2 linked regions of the Drosophila melanogaster genome follow. The protein of the gene in region 2 interacts with the protein of the main gene of each other region in a pairwise test. Each region holds a gene or a part of one and is shown on either strand. Other genes may lie near its edges.

Region 1 (3,924 bases), on a different chromosome or scaffold from region 2:
GTTTGCGAATAGGCCTTCACTTTTTTGGTGAAATAAACTGCTCGAACAAATTGTGAGCTGTAAAATCGGCGCTAATGTATGTACAGTGCAACTCGGTCATATATGAAAGATAAAAATTATGCTATTTCAAGCGAAATTAATCATGACCAAACTGGGTAAACAGTTTATTAAAAAACTGAGTAATGTTTCTGATCCCAAAATATATTCTTTGACTAAGTGAGGCTAGAGTTCTAAATTATTGAAAGAAACTTGTATTACTATAGAAATTCCCCCAAATAAATATATAAATGCACTGATAAGTGCACTTGATTTCGTGGACTTTAAACTACTGGGAAGCACCGTATTATCGCCTATTAATTTTCTCCATAATTTGCGACTGCCACGGCTGTGTGCGTGTGTGTTTCCCTGTACTTTTTCGTACACACTCAGCACCGATTGCTGGTCATCCATAACTTTGATAGCAAACACCCCGCTACACAATAGATTGTATAATAATGTTGCCATGTGAGTCATCGGCTCAACGCGAAAAAGAAAACGGCAAGTGAATTCGGTTTCAATTGTTGAATGGCTATTGCATATTGATTGTGTGCAGGAAGCAACATGGCCGATATGGCGATACACAAGCCCACAAATAAGTTATTTTGTTATATATCGTCAGAACTGAAATCTCAATGCTTTAATGACTTCTTCGCTTTGCTTATCGGCATGCTGATAACTACCATGATTTTCTCGCTGTGTACCGTTCGCGATTTCTCTTTTGCTAGCGTTTTCACTACATTAATTAACCGAGAACACGTGAGCAAGTGCAGCTTGTTGTTTACCATTAGTGTCTACTCATCAGATTCTGTGACCGGATTGAAATCGATTTGGAAGGGCTTTGCATGGATCTGAATGGGACACAGTTCTCCGATCAATTAGCACGCACTTTCCGGCTCATTTCGCCTATCATTCGAGCGCTTATCAGTGGGCCGATGAACAAAGGGAAGCTATCTGGTGGGGCAGCCGGAGCGCGAGCCAAGCGAAGTAATCAGCAACAGCTGTCAATAAGCCTAGAATGCACTTCTCGCTCGATGGATGGGGAGGGGTGGTGGAGGGAGGGGAACTTGAACTTCCTTGAATTATCGACCGCAGGGCTTAGTCACCCACACAGCGCCACTATGCTACAGTACACACATATATATGTGTAGATATATATTTATTCGTGGTCATGTAACGCACGCCAGAAAGAAGGTAACTACCTCTCCCACTCCCACTCCTTCTGTGGGTGGGCGTGTGTGTGTTTGTGTGTGTGCGCTTGTAATTGAGGCAAAGGTCGCGACTTCCGTCCCGCTCGCACTCGCTGCCGCCGCTCTACCGCTGGCGAATTCCAATGCAAGAGGCGTTCCTTTTTGTTTTTAGCAATTTCTGGGGGTTTCTCCTCCTCCGTTTTCCTTTCCTTTCTACCTGTGTCTTACCTTCTGCTGCTTCTTCTTCTGCCTCTGGTGCTCCTACAACTTGCGCCTGTGTGTGTGGTTGTTGTCTCCTGTGTGCGGCTGCATGTGCGAGTGTGTGTGCGGGATTCTTAACTGGGTTTCCCGGGCCCCAAAATTGATGGCTGGATTATTGCACTAGTTGGCGCTGCCGCCCTCGCTTTGGTCCACGTAATCGCGAGCAGTTGATATCGCTGCACTAATTGTTTATTTGTTATTTTGCTTCGCTTGCAAGCAGCAATTTCTAGAGCTGCAACTTTGGACGATGTTTTTCGATACAACTGATGTGGCCACTCAGTGCGCGAATCGATAGGTTGAATTCAATTGGCGAGGCTTGTTATGCACGCTAGACTGGGTTGGCGTACTCGCTATATTGCCAACTTACATGTTCAACCAGAGTTGCCGTACAAGCTCAAAATGGAGTAGCCAACCAGATTTGAAAATGACCGCGAATAGGAATTAGGAATAAAAATAAGAACGTATTGCCCGTAGTCACAACAAAACAAAGGTAAATAATTAGCCAAAAAGTTATGCACCAGCTAGTACTTCTGGCCCCTCTGATTTTATTGGAATCTAAGCTTATTACTCCATATAAATTAGAAGCCCCCTGAATATTCATTACTCAGTTGCGTTGCTCATTGAATTTCTTTAAATGTTATTTAATTTTGTGGTGCTATTGAATAAATATAAAAGCGCGGATTCAGTTCATCGAATAACATAGTGTTTGGCAGTAAAAAGTGCTTACAATGCTAAAATCCGCAAGTGCTTTGCTATGTGGTCTTCTTGCTTTAAATTTGTATGGAGCTTGGGCAGAATCCGATGTGATTTGTCCTTTAAAGGACCCTCCTAGTCAATGTGGAGGATTCTGTCTGGGTGTACTTACGCCCGTGTTAAATCACCTGACCATTTCCCAAAATCTGGCGAATTCCAATAATTCAAGCAAGGCTAACGAGGTCCTGGTGAGACAGTACACGATGGAAGGCCAACTGACTGCTCTGCAGAATAAGCAACTAAGCATTGAAGTCGCACTGGATGCCCAAGGCAGAAAACTGAATGTTAACGAACAGAACTTTACTGAACGACTGAATTGCATGGAAGGCATACTGTCGGCCCTGGAGAAAACAGTCCTTGAAGTAAAAACCAAAATAAAATACCTCGGATTCGAGCAAATCGGCTCAAAGTACTATTACATAGAGAAAGTATCCGAGAAGAACTGGTCCACTGCTTCAAAAACTTGTCGCAATATGGGAGGGCACCTGGCCGACATTAAGGACGAGGCAGATCTAGCCGCCATCAAGGCGAATCTCAAGGAGGACACGCATTACTGGCTGGGAATCAATGACTTGGACCACGAGGGAAAATTCTTGTCCATGCCCACGGGCAAGCAGACTACCTTTTTGAAATGGGCCTCGGGGAGACCCTCTCAGTTGGACACCCTCAACTGCGTGTTCCTATACAACGGGGAAATGTACGATTACCCATGCCACTATACTTTCCGGTTCATTTGCCAGACCGAGGAGGAAGATTTAAATGTATGATTTAAATAGAAACCACATGAGAATAATAAAACCTTTGCTGATGCCGTAACACCTGTGATTTTTTATTCAATCCCTCAAGCCTTCATTAGCTTATCTCTATTACTCACTTTATGGTTACTAAATTTACCAGTTTCACGTTATATTGCACTTTTAGACAAACAAACTGCGCACAAAAAGTGAAATTTCCTTGATTCTCCGATCTTTCCAGTAGCACAAAAACTATTTGTTTAAACAATTATTAGCACTCGTTTTAAATACGAGCACTGAGAGCGGAGAGTCCAAGAAAATTCGTCGTATACCATGTTGTTTGTTCGCTTTCGGACTTTTTCACACATTGTCAAGAGTTTCAGAGAACGCGGCTCAAAGTGAAAATTATCAAAATTTAATGTGCCGACCGCTCCGCATCCGCAGTCATTCGTATCGCGGGCTTCGAACGGAGCAGATCGGAACTTACGGCTACGGACTTCGCACTACGGTCGGGAAGGATTACGCGAAGAGGATACGCGAAAAGGATACGCGATGAGGCAGCTGCTGGTTTACGCGTTGGTCGCGGGCTTGTTTTACTTTTCCGAAGGTAAACTCCACCAGCAAGTGTATTGTGCCAGATTTAAATCAGTTTTGGTTTTCCTACTTTCAAAGGAAAGTGTTCATGAATTCATAAACGTAATTCACTGAAGTATCCTAAAAAATAAAAAATGCCTTGAAATGAATAGTTACAATTATTACAAGAAAGTGAATAGCACCTTCCATTGCTTTAAAAATATGTACAAAATGAAACCATGTAGGAAAACCAAAACTTATTATTCGGAAATCTCCGCTAAAGTCGAAGTGCTTTTCCCATGTTAATGTGAACATTACTCCTTTTCCCATTTCCGCACTGGCTTAACGCAGGCAAGCCGTGCCCCGAAAAGACACGC
Region 2 (3,924 bases):
CCATGGGTGAGAGGTGCGTGAGACGACCCTCCTGGGCCAGCGGCACAAAGTCCTGCTCGTCCTTCTTGTCGCGATGTGGGCAAAGCCGAATGGCCAGGCGGCGGTAGGCCAGAGTAATCTGCTCCTTGGTGGCGCCTCTGGGCTGATCCAGCACCGCGTAGTAGTCCAGCTCCGGCCGGTTCATTGTTTCTATTCGGAGTCGAAGCGTATAACAACTGGCAGAAGTGTTCACAGAATGTTTGACGTGTGACTGAGAATTTATTCAAATTATATACAATAACTCAACTGACGCAGGATCTGGCTATGGATGAAATATGCTTGTGGACAAATACATTAAGATTAGAGCTATGGTGTAGATGGAAACGTGGCGGCGATCAGTCAACGTCCTCGGTGCTGACGCCAGTGTAGATGGGCTCCTCCTTGGCTGCACTCTCTGATTTGGCATCGTCGGTCTTCTCCTCGCCACCGGCGACGTCATCCGAGTCATCTTCCTCCTTCTTGTCACCCTCCAAGTCAGCGGCATTGGGCACCCAGAGACCAGAGTCCACACAACGCTTCATGTGCAGCTTGGCGACGTCCACGGGCATGGCCGCAATGGTCTTCTGCAGCAGCTCTACGTCGCGGGACTCGAAACAGGCCTTTAGTTCCTGCGGAGCAAATACATGAAAAGTTAGTCAAGTAATTCCCATACAGTGAATCACTAGAACGTACATCGGGCAGGGATTCAAAGACATCGGCTGGGTCCAGACCACCAGGTCCGAGGCGCTCCTTGCGCTCCTCCTCTTCGGCCTGGGCTATCGCCTCCTGGATCTTCTCCTGCGCACGCTTCTGGATACGTCCTTTGAAACCTTCGATCTCGCTGTCGAACTGCGCGCGGTACTCGGGATGACAGTGCTGGATCTTTGAGAAGAAGGAGCTGACACAGGCGCGAGGATCCACGTCCAGCTGTTTGGCCAACTCTAGAATGTACTGCATGCAAATGCACTGATGCGCCACGTGGGCCATCAGCTCGTGCTTCTCCTCCATTTCCAGGTTGATGGACCAAATGACTAGGTAGTTGGCCGTCTCCTCGCCCACCAAGTGAAGATGCTCCTGCAGAAACCGCTTCGAATCGTCGTACTTGCGCAGCATGCCATACTGCTGGCAGAGCTTCTCGTTCTCCTTGACGAATTGCTTCATGCGCTGCTCTCGCTCTTCCTCGGACAGATTCTCATCCGGCTTGCGGCCGGCCTTCTTGTTGATTACGGTCTTCTCAAAGCCGGGCTTGCTGATGGTGTCCACGTTCCAGGGTGTTTTCTTTTCCTTCTTAATCATCTCGCTCTCGATGCGGTCCAGCTCTTTGCCCTCGGCCTCGATCTTTTCGAGCTCTTTCTGTAGGCGATACAAATTAGGGATTAAGCATTGCGATGAAAGATGGATGGCCACTTAGGATGATAGTCAATCATAAGCTTGACAATAAGAATAAATTAGATGGATTGAGAACATAGGGAACTCCCAGACCAGGCATTAGCCTAAGCAACAAGTGCGCAGTGCATTCGGTGCAATGACCCACCTTCAGGGCCTCCTCGTCGCCATCCTTCTTTGAGATCCGCTCCTTGACGTCCATGAGGCGCGCCTGGTAGCTCTGGCGCTTTTTCTTAAGCTCGTCCTTCTCGTGGTCCATCTCCGCCATGCGCTCCACGCGCGCCTGGTGCCGCCAGCGGAACAGAGAAGGCGTGTCTATGTTTGGGTGAGTGTCGTCCTCATCATCCGAAATCTAAAAGGTAGTGTGCCGATTAGGAGGACTTTTTGGGTTGGCACCCAGCAGTGGGCTCACCTCGATGTTCTTCCACTTGCTGTAGTCCACCATTTTGCTGTTTCTTTGCTTCGGATTTATATTTGAATGTAAATGCTGCAGGTTTTTGTTCTTTTTCGGCTGCTTCCTTTTTTTGGATTGCTCTGGAAATTAGTGTGACCGCAGGGCTATTGCGGAATAATACCATAATAAGCCCCGCTTACTCTGGGGCCGCGCTAGGAAATAGTAGTCATGCATGAGTGCACCAGATTGAATTGAAATACCCTGTCGTTTTTAATTTATTTACATCATCTACTACTACTCATCTACATCTACTAGAAAAATAATGAGATGACTAAGGCGCCAAAGCGACCAGAAAGAGAACTATGTTTATAATCGATTGACATCGATAGAAATCGCGATATTGATGTCAATGTTCTGCGCCAATCGGCCGACATATTGAAAAAAACTGCGGTCCCGTGAAATAGAGGCGCTCCGTGAAAATTACGAATAACTACTGCAAATCAATAGTTAAATTAACAAAGTAACTGTGAACAAATAGATTGCCATCAAAGTGTAAGTTTCTACATAGTTTTCGTCCGTAGCTCACTGTTAGTTGGGTTCAAAATGCAATTGAAATTCGGTGTGCGTGCAAAGTGAAAATTTTTCGGGTCAACGCCACACCCTCGAAGGCAACACAAAAATCCAATTAACGGGGCTAAAGTGAGAGAAAAGTCTTGGCCATAACTGAAAAGCTATGCTGTGCAATGTCACTGCTTGATTAGTAATAGAAATTTTGAATTTCTTTCAAAATTCTTGACTCCAATTGCAACTTAAGAAAAAGTATCTGGTGCTCCTGTTGTGCATGTGTGTGTGCGGTTACGCAGGAGTAGAGAACGCTGTGTGTGTGTACGTCATCGGGTGGTGGTGGTGGTGCGGCAACTTCAGATGAGAGAAAGCGGGAGAGCACACTCTCCCTCTCTTTGCTTGTTTGTGTTTCCAAGATATTTAAGTACGAATAAAAAAAAAGCAAAGTGCTTGCCTTACATATGCCAAAGTTTTGGGTGGGCAAGTGTCCTTGACTTTCTTGAAGGCCTGTGTTTGCATAGGATATTTTTGTTTGCTTGCCAGGCGATTCCGTGTTCGTAGTAGTCTTGCGTACCAGTTGATTTTTTGTGCCTCTTCATTGATTGCTCATAATTCCAAAGCGTACGCATTACGTCATCCTCTGCTATTTTCTGATAGACACTTCAATTAATGTTTCGCTCTCTCCGTCTCTTTCTATTCGCTCTCTTTTTGAGGTGCGATCTCTCGCAATTGCCGTTTCTGATGTTGTTTTTGTTTGCCACCGCGATAAACAGTTAAATTGGCCTGCCTGTGTGTTTGTATGTGAGCTCCAACATTGTATGGCTGCCAAGCCCTGGGCTGTTGCCATCTCCCTCTGATTTATTTCAATTTCCTGTGGCAAAGAGTGTTGTTTGTTTGTTTCTCTGCATGCTGACCCACCCTCTCCCCTAAATGATGTCATTGCTTGCTCTGCTGACCCCTTCTAAAGGGGCGATTTTGAAGTATTAAGTATTAAAATCCGGACATTCCACGGATTTCCTTATCGTTAGTGCTAATTGTATTTCATGTTACTCTATTGACAAAAATTCACTCCTTGGCTTTTCTCTATTAATCATTCTTGGCCAATCTTAACTATTTTACCTTCTGTGTAGTGTAGCTGAGAATTTCAGATATTTCTCTGCTTTTCTTATCTGAGTTGTTTTTTTTTTTTTTTTAGCACTAAAAATTGGAAACTATTAGAAATGTGATTTTATGGGCTATCAACTAAGTTTGGAAATTAAAATAAATGATATCTTATAAGAATTCATAGAAAATATTTATACTTTAACAACAAAAAATTGTTGATGCAATATTTAGATACTTTTAGAAACCTACTATTCTTTTATTGTTAAGGTTAATACCTTTACAAATTTGTTTAGCATACATGTGCGTTTTTCCAAACCTGACCTACAAATATATTCCTCATAATTTCCCGCCTAACTATAACCTTATTACAACTTTTAGTACAGGTGATGAAGTCATCACAACTCGTAGCATTTTACGTGTCGTTTACGTTGATTTAGTTTATTGTGTGAAAACATATT

What was found.
Region 1: the proteins of Cdc37 (region 2) and Su(dx) interact in binary tests that used the Drosophila melanogaster proteins (3 or more experiments, as listed by UniProt).

The regions. Positions count from the first base shown.
Region 1 is NT_033779.5:2,035,539-2,039,462, reverse strand, and holds the start of Su(dx) (suppressor of deltex), read right to left. Parts: upstream 1,750-3,924; 5' UTR 1,239-1,749; intron 936-1,238; exon of another isoform or gene 822-935; intron 1-821. Other genes in the region: lectin-22C, read left to right, coding at 2,216-3,007; CG42296 (uncharacterized protein), read left to right, coding at 3,527-3,581, 3,899-3,924.
Region 2 is NT_037436.4:1,793,625-1,797,548, reverse strand, and holds Cdc37 (cell division cycle 37), read right to left. Parts: upstream 2,158-3,924; 5' UTR 1,850-2,157; coding exon 1,817-1,849; intron 1,757-1,816; coding exon 1,553-1,756; intron 1,372-1,552; coding exon 712-1,371; intron 696-711; exon of another isoform or gene 648-695; coding exon 375-647; 3' UTR 242-374; downstream 1-241. Other genes in the region: CG12020 (uncharacterized protein), read right to left, coding at 1-184. UniProt on the Drosophila melanogaster protein: Co-chaperone that binds to numerous kinases and promotes their interaction with the Hsp90 complex, resulting in stabilization and promotion of their activity. Required for cytokinesis and chromosome segregation in mitosis and male meiosis.